Xenopus tropicalis: one gene and its partners. The protein of the gene in region 3 binds, or shares a complex with, the protein of the main gene of each other region. Links are inferred from orthologs where the notes say so. Each region holds a gene or a part of one and is shown on either strand. Other genes may lie near its edges.

What was found. Proteins that work in one complex are often made in the same cells at the same time.
Region 1: taf8 (region 3) and taf4 share a complex: the UniProt entries of both Homo sapiens proteins name them as parts of the TFIID basal transcription factor complex. The link is inferred for Xenopus tropicalis from reciprocal best matches to the Homo sapiens genes TAF8 and TAF4.
Region 2: taf8 (region 3) and taf12 share a complex: the UniProt entries of both Homo sapiens proteins name them as parts of the TFIID basal transcription factor complex. The link is inferred for Xenopus tropicalis from reciprocal best matches to the Homo sapiens genes TAF8 and TAF12.

Annotation. Positions count from the first base shown.
Region 1 is NC_030686.2:4,389,898-4,393,655, forward strand, and holds the start of taf4 (transcription initiation factor TFIID subunit 4), read right to left. Parts: upstream 2,712-3,758; 5' UTR 2,698-2,711; coding exon 2,427-2,697; intron 628-2,426; coding exon 1-627. UniProt on the Homo sapiens protein: The TFIID basal transcription factor complex plays a major role in the initiation of RNA polymerase II (Pol II)-dependent transcription.
Region 2 is NC_030678.2:78,450,382-78,454,070, forward strand, and holds the start of taf12 (transcription initiation factor TFIID subunit 12), read right to left. Parts: upstream 2,926-3,689; 5' UTR 2,903-2,925; intron 1,323-2,902; exon of another isoform or gene 1,313-1,322; coding exon of another isoform or gene 1,241-1,312; intron 1-1,240. UniProt on the Homo sapiens protein: The TFIID basal transcription factor complex plays a major role in the initiation of RNA polymerase II (Pol II)-dependent transcription.
Region 3 is NC_030678.2:70,729,086-70,731,813, forward strand, and holds part of taf8 (transcription initiation factor TFIID subunit 8), read right to left. Parts: intron 2,296-2,728; coding exon of another isoform or gene 2,254-2,295; coding exon 2,139-2,253; intron 1,625-2,138; coding exon 1,526-1,624; intron 1,417-1,525; coding exon 1,354-1,416; intron 1,073-1,353; coding exon 948-1,072; intron 494-947; coding exon 346-493; intron 1-345. UniProt on the Homo sapiens protein: The TFIID basal transcription factor complex plays a major role in the initiation of RNA polymerase II (Pol II)-dependent transcription.

The DNA.
Region 1 (3,758 bases), on a different chromosome or scaffold from region 3:
GGATAATAGTTTTAGGGGATTCCGACTTGATCACCGGACTGGGCTGATTGTTCATTTGCAGCGAGACCCCGGCAGGGGCGGACAGAGGGGAATTGATCACAGTATTGCTCCCGTTCTGAGTGGCGGGCACGCCCTGGTGCAACAGAGGTCTCACCAATGCCACGCTGGTGGGTACGCCCGCCATGCCAGCTTGCTGCCCAGCTGCTCCCGCAGTGGATGTGGATGAGGAGGAGATGACTGAGGATGCCACGTTAGTAGTCCCAAGGAAAGAAGTCTGGATAACGGTGTTAGCTCCTGGGTTCACTCCACCCTTAGCGACAGGAGCCGGTCCGTTGTTTACCAGGCCGACAGCGGCATTGCTGTTCCCCTGGTAGGGGGTTCCGTGACCCCCAGGTCCGTGTGAATTAATCACAACATTACTCCCATTCATGGTCTGTAGGGTGGCATTTTTGCCATTACCTGAACTGTGGTTGGGCAGAGTGGAAGCCATGTTGCCCAGAACCCCAGATTTGGCCTGGCTAAGAGCTCCTGGTGCTTCGGGTATAGCAGACTGAGTCCCGTCAGGCTGTGCTGTGGTCTGTGGGCGGCTGTTAATGACACCTCCTTGTACTCCGGGTACAGCGGCTCCTGTGGGAGAAAAAGGACATTTTTTTTTAAACAGCAGGGAAAGAAACAGAGCTATGGGGTATACACCCGCCGGAATATACAGATAGCCACCCCTGTGCACCCACTCTGGTCCAGCACTTGGTTCCACCAGCAAACGCCCACTGGACCCCTCAGAAGCGGCATTAGGCAACCCCACAACCCAACATGCCACCCAGAAATCCAAACCATTCCAAGAGAACCCAATGATGCCCCCAGGAAGATTTACCCCCCCCCCCCCCCTTGTAAGTGAGCGGCATATAGACGGTGCCCTCAGTGCCAGCTCCCCAAGTACACGGGGAACATACCCCACATAAGGCAATTTCACCCACACCCCCCCAAATGACCATATAGTGCCTCTTGCCCCCCAAGTCCATTTATTAAGGCTCATTATAGCCCCCAGAAAATCCCAGGTATCTAAGTATCTACAACAAGGCCATCAGTAGCGCCAAAAGTTCATGTGGACCCCCAAATCTTCTCCTGGGGCACAAACTGCCCCCTAATGATCCACACAGCACTCATCTCCCCACAGTCACCCCCAAAACCCTAAAATGCCACAAATCTCTAGTCTGTTGCCACCAACAGCTCCATTAGTCCATGTGAGACTGGCCAGAAGGCTGCCCAGGGCCCAGTATACCCCCCAAATGCCCCCAGGCTGCCCGGTTACCCCAGGAAACTGCCGGGTACCCCAAATATCCAGTCGCCAGCCACCAACAGCTCTACGAGTCCATGTGAGACTGGCCAGAAGGCTGCCCAGGGCCCAGTATACCCCCAAATGCCCCCAGGCTGCCCGGTTACCCCAGGAAACTGCCGGGTACCCCAAATATCCAGTCGCCAGCCATCAGCAGCTCTATGAGTCCATGTGAGACTGGCCAGAAGGCTGCCCAGGGCCCAGTATACCCCCAAATGCCCCCAGGCTGCCCGGTTACCCCAGGAAACTGCTGGGTACCCCAAATATCCAGTCGCCAGCCATCAGCAGCTCTATGAGTCCATGTGAGACTGGCCAGAAGGCTGCCCAGGGCCCAGTATACCCCCCAAATGCCCCCAGGCTGCCCGGTTACCCCAGGAAACTGCTGGGTACCCCAAATATCCAGTCGCCAGCCATCAGCAGCTCTATGAGTCCATGTGAGACTGGCCAGAAGGCTGCCCAGGGCCCAGTATACCCCCAAATGCCCCCAGGCTGCCCGGTTACCCCAGGAAACTGCCGGATACCCCAAATATCCAGTCGCCAGCCATCAGCAGCTCCAGGAGTCCATGTGAGACTGGCCAGAAGGCTGCCCAGGGCCCAGTATACCCCCAAATGCCCCCAGGCTGCCCGGTTACCCCAGGAAACTGCTGGGTACCCCAAATATCCAGTCGCCAGCCATCAGCAGCTCTATGAGTCCATGTGAGACTGGCCAGAAGGCTGCCCAGGGCCCAGTATACCCCCCAAATGCCCCCAGGCTGCCCGGTTACCCCAGGAAACTGCCGGATACCCCAAATATCCAGTCGCCAGCCATCAGCAGCTCCAGGAGTCCATGTGTACCCCCAATTCTATTTCCTATGGGCCAATGTGCCCCCCCAAAGCCCTTGGCCCCCCTCCAAGTCACTCCACAGGCGCCAAGTAGTACAAGTATCCAGTTTTCCAAGAGCAGCAACTCCAGAAGTCCATGTGGGGCCCCCAGAGCGTTTCCCGGGGCCCATCACACCCAGCAGAGCCCCTGAAGGCCCCCAGTCAGCCCGCCGGCCGCCAAAACATTCCCGCGGCCCCCCTGCCCGCTCAGCTCGGCGCCCCCAGGCCTCACCCGTCTTAGGCACCTCCGGGGAGAGCCCTATCTTGGCTTCAGGCTGTCCCCCCGCACTGGCTGCCCCTACCCCCGGGCTGGTGACATGGTTAGCCAGGGCCTGGCTGCGGGCCTCGGCGGGGGGTTGCTGCTGGTGGTGGTGGTGATGATGGTGCTGGTGGGCCGCGGCGGCCAGCTGAGACTCCAGGGATCCCACCAGCTCGCTGACCACTTTATCGTCCACGTCCGTGTTGAAGAAAACCTCATCCAGTAGATCCGAACCCGCCGCCATCTTTACTCCGCCGCTCAACTCAGGAGGGCAGCAGCTCTGTGCGCCTGCGCGGCGGGGCAATTACGTCACACCGGAGCGGCGCTCCCATTGGCTGCTTCATGGCTACATAAGGAGCGGGCAAATGGCTGCGAGCGGTATTGGGAGGGCAGGAGGGGATCGAGCGGGGTCGGTGGAACGGGAGGGAGGCACAAAAATAGGGGGCGGTCGGGGAAGGGTCTGCGCGGGAAACCGGGTGGCGTGGCGACGCCTGAAGCGGAGAAAGTCGCCCCGCCACAGAAACGCGCGCTCTTTGTCTGCTCAATTCAAAATGGCTGCTGCGGGTGTCCCGCCGCCACTCCTGTCTGCCGCCCGCTGCGGGTTACCGGGAGGGAGGGGGCGTTCCTGTCACCGGGTGGGTGGGACACCTCATACAGGGCTCGGACAAACGCACTACTGCCGCTTGTGGGATCCGCTGTCTACCGACCGTGCCGCTTAGGCGGAGGGGCATGCTGGGAGTTGTAGTTTTACAACTAATGTGGTTCCCGTGACTATGGGCAGGGAGAAGCTTGTGTATCTGGGAAGGAGTGTAGGGGGGTGTAAATAAAGGGGTATGTGGGTGGATAAGAGGGGCATATGGGTAAATAAGTATATATATCCCTTGGGAACTGAATAGCTATCCCAGTAGAGTTGTTGGGGGTGTAATGGGGGTTATAGGGGGTGAATGATTACCCTAGGGCAGTGTTTGGAGGTATAAGAGCCAATAAGTACCCCAGTATAGTATCTGGGCAGGGGTATTGGGGTTATTATGGTGATGGGGGAGTTAAAGCCAAATAGAAATTCTACTAGATTATTTATTTATTTATAAGAAGTGGTGTAATGGGGACTAAGTACTCAATGGGCCTTGGGAAATGGACATGGCCGGGGGTTAATGTGACTGCCCCATTGTGGGGTAACAAACTGGGCAACTAGAGAGGGTATGGGGCTGTATAAGGGATAGATACAATCTACATGGGGTGATGATTTTCCCTGCACAGTGTTTAGAGGGTTAATCCCCAATAAATGATAGGTTAGTGGATCTACAA
Region 2 (3,689 bases), about 7.7 Mb from region 3:
AGGTGCCATCTCTGTGTATTGTGCCCGAGTCTGAGCTTTCAGAAGGAGCCAGCGCTACACATTAGAACTGCTTTCAGGTAACCTATTGTTTCTCCTACTCCCATGTAACTGTAGGAGTCCCAAGCCAGCGCTATCCTGATATCTATTGGGAGCTGATATCTTGCTACCTTCCCATTGTTCTTCTGATCAGCTGCTGGTGGGAGGGGGGTGATATCACTCCAACTTGCAGAGCAGCAGTAAAGTGTGACTGAGGTTTATCAGAGCACTGGTCACATGGCTGTGGCACCCTGGGAAATGAAGAATATGGCTAGCCCCATGTGAAATTTCAAATGTAAATATAAACAAAAATGTGTTTGGGTTTCTGAAAAACAGATTTCAATACAGGATTCTTTTCAAGAAGCTCTATTAACTGATGCTTTTTAAAAAAACATGTTTTCCCATGACATTATTCCTTTAAGAATGTGGGCTTTATTTTCACTTTTCCGCTATTGCAAATAAAGTAATCGGTCTGCTAAATAAAAACATACTGACAACCCTAAGCAAAAACCTGTCATATCCAGTGTAGAAAGCAATTATTAGGTAGCTTGTTGCTCTTTTGCTACCTATAAAGCACACCTGTGTTGGATTGGGTAACCCTGGGCCCACTGGGTAACCAACTCAGGAGCCCACAGCTGCTTCGCCCACAGCTACTCCTGCTTTACTTACTTACTGTTATAGGCTCAACTTTAGAACGCACACCGCCAAGTTTATTTTTTCACAGCAAGTAAGCAGTGGCCCACTCTGCTGCTTACTTGCTGTGAAAAAATAAAAGATGGCGTTCAGGTGGCAGGGCCCAACAGGGTTGGGGGGCCCACTGTTTTTTTTTTCCAGTAGCATGGTGAGCCAGTCTGACCCTGTAACCTAGTCCTATTATTTACCTACTCTGCCTGACTATCCAATGCAAAGTATAGTCAGGAAGAAACACCATAAAGGGCATAGGGGCATATTTACCAACACTTTGTAAATTTGCCTCAATACAATAGCTCATAGCAATTTTTTAGCTGTTAGCTTCAATATTTACAGTGTTAATTGAGTCCCAGTGAATAGATTTTCATTGGGAATACATTAAATACCAGCACATACAGTACTGTACACACACACACATTAATGAACGGCGCAGAAGTTGGTTAATAAGGCTGTATGGTACAGAGATACTTTGTATCACTATACAGTGGCTCATGCTAACACACTATTTACTTACAGCCAGTTGAGTATCTAGCTCTGTAATGACATCGCACACGGCGGTGGAACCGCTGAGCACACACGTCATCATCACCGGCCTTCTGCAGACAATAACAGCATCAGTTGGGCACATTGTATAAGGTTATTAGTATATATCACAGACTGAGGTGGACTGGGTTAGTAACGATGACATTTCACCAAGTTACTAGCTATAACTCAAAAATGATCCAAGGTAAGCTTACTTTCTTCTCATCTATTTAGAGAGTGTAATATTGATGTAATTTTATAGGCAAGACAATGCTCCTAACCGGTATGTTATTATACAAAAATTTTAAAGGAGACATATTGGATAAATGGGGAAAAACACTTATTTTGTAGGCAATTATGAATAATATACGGTGCTGGTTTCCCTTTGGGCTAAACATTAACCCTATCTGTAACAATGGCCCCTTTATTGGAGCTCCCTATAGATCCTATCACTTCTCTGTCCAGTGTGAAATGGAGAGTGGGCGTGTCCTAACAGTCCCTGCCAGAAGCACAGTAGGAGGGGGAGAGCCAATCACAGCCCTGCCCTCACACAAGCACAGACAGGCTTCAGTTCCCTATCAGGTCAGCCTAGCTGCTGATTGGTTCCTGTCCTACAGTGCAGGGTACTGAGGGCGGCTCCCCAGCTCATCCAGAGAATTCAGCCAGCAGGAAGTGGAACAGATGGGCGGGACTAGTGGGGTTTTGGTGGAATTTCTCAATAAATCAGTCTGAAACACAACATTTTTAAGCACAATCCTTCTATATCTAGAGGAGTATAATTCACTGGAACATTCATCATTTTTATAGGATATGTCTCCTTTAAGGAAAAACCAAACAACTGGCATATTGTTTTTGTTACCGATTTCTGCCTTTTGCTATATGTAGTGTAACCTATCCCCATTACACATTAAAGCAATGCAGGAAAAAAAATATTCAGAACAGAAGAGACTCCTGAAACAATGTAGCCAGCAAGTCCCATTTCAGTTCAACTAACTTCTAATACATTGTTTCAGGATTCCGCACCAGTGAACAGAAGATGCCCATACCTGGTGCACTCTTACCTTCCAGTTTGTGCCTGTATGTTACCCAACCACTTAGATTGTAAGCTCTATGGGGTAGGGATCTCCTTCCTACTGTGTCTCATACCACATGGCACTTATATATATATATATACATATATGTATTTATTGTATTTATTTATTATATCACTTGTCCTCCCTGTGTGTAATTGTGTATTCTGTAAGACTGTACAGCGCTGCATACCCTTGTGGCGCTTAATAAATAAAGTTATACATACATACATACATATAACCAGCGAGCCAGTCTGAAAGCGATTTATACACCACTGAAATTGTTTAACGTATATCTGAAAGTTGCAACGAACTGGATTCTAACAAGTTGAAATTGTAACCCTCCTGTGTGTATGTATATATGTTCCAATATACCTAAATACATAATACCGTGTGTGAGTCTCACACATGAGTGAGATGATTGGCACGGTACGTTACGTACAACCTGCTGCGCACTAGCACTTGCTGCACTGCTTTGCCGGGAGAGTAGGGACACCAAAGTGAGATACCCGGGAATCCCATACGTCCCGATTCTCGCAAGGAAAACCTGATAAAGCGACAATATAATCACGGAGTCCACATACCAATCTCTGCGCTTTAAGTTCTGCTGTCTCTCTCCCTGTTGGCGGACGTTACATCACACATTCTTTCCGCTCATGCGCAAATTCTTCTTCCCCCCCACACTTTATTTAACGGGAACAATCCAAAACTCAGAATATGCGCAGAAAACCGAAAAACATGGCTCCCAATACGCCGACCTAAACAAAAATTGCACCTTTTCTCGCGATTTTAAATGTAGCTGTGGACGGGAATTGGCAGTCCCATCATCCCTTCTATTTAGCATAATTTGCATATGGCCCTCGCTTGGCAATAAAATTAAAATGTAAAATACTGTTTGTTGTATTTATGAAAGTGAATTATCTTATATTTAGTGTATCCCGATCTAGCACTCATATACAATTATAGATATTTCCCTAACCGAAACTTTGTCGCCATATGTTGTGTAAGGGTTATGCTGCCCCTGGAGGTTGCAGAAACCAGATGATAGTTAAAAAGGGCTTGTGCCGTGTATGGCACATTGCGGGTCTCCCTTGTGGAGGACTGCAGTGCGGAATCGATATCAAGAGATTTCGAAAGCATAATTTTTGTAAACTGGGCTGCTAGAGATCGATGGTCTGGGCGCCCAATAATTAAGTTCAAAAACAGAGAAAATGAGGATGTATCAGCAGGAATAAGCATATTGAAGCGTATTAATTAATACACTGTGTTCCGCAGGGTTATTTTCCCGGCAACGCCTAGTGATCACGCAGAGGACTGATACTTTTTTTTATTTAAGAGTATCAATGTATGTAATACTGCCACATGCCTACA
Region 3 (2,728 bases):
AACAGAAAATATGCATCATAACCTGCATATGAAGTTCAAGGCTTAACAAGCTGATTCAACCAATTTGGTGTTGCCAGTAATCAGTATTGAGCAGTTACATGCATTCAAATTATCAGAATTACAGGGGTACCCACATTTTTGCACAGCCAGTTTTTCACATTTGATTTAATTTCATACAACTAAATACTGCTTCACTAAAAATATTTGTTCAGAAAACACCCCATTTCCTGAGAAATTAAATACAAACCACTGTTATCTTTTCTGTTGAAAGTGGAGTAAATTATTATGCAGGCTAAGAGGGGGTTCCCAAACTTTTTTTATATGACTGTAATACAATTAACTCACACGGAAAGGTGCTTGTGTCATCTTTGAACAAACTCTGTGTCTCGCCTGTTTTAGCCATAAATCGGGTGAGGGCCCTTTCCACATCTCTACGCTGTGATGCTGCCTTCTCACGCAAGACTTGGTAATCACATACTGGTTCACGATAAGTCTAAGGAGAGGACTTTAATGCAGATAAACAAAATAATACATAGCATAGAACCCATTCAGAAGTCCTGAGGATCCCTTCATTAAAAGCAGTAGCAAACCATTTCCCTACAGGATTTACTGCTACCGTCATAGTAAAATCGCTGTGACCCTATAATAATTATTTTGCCTGCCTTTCCTTTTATCACAGCGATTAAGAGTTGTGCCTTCTTACAAGCAGTAGAAGGCTGCAACCAGCTGAAGTTACAAAAGCCACCTTGTTTCTCACTTCTCATTAAAAGGAAGTACACCTTCTAAGGGTAATATCACACCATGTGTTCTCTGCTTGCAGTATTACTATGATAATGTACATTCTATAGTAAGTCAATCAAGAAAGTAAGGCAATATATTTATTACTTTGTTCCTATGCAACATTCAGTACATAAACATACATTTATCTCAAAGAAAAACAACCTTACCGGTGTCTTAATGTATGTATGGGGATCTGGAAACTCGGGAAAATGGCTTGGAATATGAGCAGGGTGTTGCTTGTTCTGTCCTGCACTCAGAGCTTTAGGAACCACAGGATTGTTTGTCACAGGTGCTGCAAGAAAGAGAACTGTTAGAGAATAATTGGCTAAAATATGGACAAAACTGAAGCAGTCATGAGTAAACAGTGTGTATTTATGAATATTGTATTTATATAAATAATGTAAATGCAGTAAGGGCAGTTTCAGTGCCCTTACACAAGTGTTTCATGACACTTGTCACTTAATATGTTTTTTATGTAGTCCTGTGTTGTGCTAAACATTGTTTTTTTTTATACATTAGACAATGTATAGAGACAATAATTCAATATTCATATCAGGCACTTGCACAACCTACGTGCTGTTATCACCATCCTCTGGGACCGCTTGGCATAGGCAGGCAAACTTTCTACATTAAACCCTACAAAAAGAAACAGTGATGAATAACAATGCAAATAAATGTAATAACTGTAATGTAATAAATATAAATAACTTCTCCTTTCCTCTTTTCAACAATGTGCCTCTCTTACCCATTTCTATCAGAGTAACTACAATGTCTGGCAGCGTGGGCTGTGTCCGTGCAGTGTGTTCACAGTATGACTTGGCACTTCGTCCAATCTCTGACAGATCTAAGGTGGGGAGAAGCGAAATGAAAGGACAACTTATATGCAAATGAACAACATAAAAAATGCAAGTGATTAGAACATCATTAGAGAAGATCTTGGAGGAACCTGTCTTACATAAACCTTACACATTTAGTTTAGTATACTTTATGGCAAAGAAGGTTTAGAAAGAAGATTATAGATGCCTATTATTCTGGGAAGGGATTTCAAAAGACTGCCAAACAATTGGACAATCCTAACTTTCCTAAGGAAAGTTATCCACAAGTGGTGAATATTTCACAACTTGCCCACGGGCCAGGCTCTTCCAGCAAGTTCAGTCCGAGAGCAAAATGCAAGATGCTGAAAGTAGTCTCTAAGAGCCCCAGAATTCATAACATGACCTACAAGTATCTCTCACCACCACTGATGTCACAGTACAAGTGGAATGTGGTTTAATGTACAATTGCAATTAACAAGCGCGCAGTATATGCATTATTACACATTTAAAAAACACACATGTATAAAAGGCCGTCATACTTACAGCTCTGTAGCATTTCAGTTAAACTTTCTACAGCTGCTTTCTCTGCACTTTCAAATCCAGCCTCTGTGAGCAGGGAACTAACTACCACCTGCAGTGTCCTTCGTCTCGCCAACATGTAATTATCGGCAGGGGTGGAAGTCCCACGTGCACAAGACCTCTGGGGACATAAATAAAGAGGACTGATTAGAGTGAGAAACTTGAGGGCTTATTATTCCATAATGAGCCCTTATAAATGCATAAAAAAAACCACAAAAAGCCTTTTTCTAAATTATTCCATGCTAATTTTATTCAAACTGCAAAATTTACTGAAGCAATGGTTTGAACCAATCTAAAAGCCCAAGTAATAAGAAACACAAAAGAAATTCTTGAAGTTTCCCAATATGTCTTTATCTAAGTTTTAGCATCTTGAATCTGTGCACAAACAGAGATTCTTTGCCTTGTGTGTTTGTAGCTACTTAGTTGGCAGTAAAAGAAGATACAGGCATCTTTCTACCTAAAGTCCTAGGGTTCCCTTTCTCTTAACAGGAGACTAGAATATTACTGCATCATAGGCTGTTATCAGGGCTTGACCCGCTTATACAACCCTACTG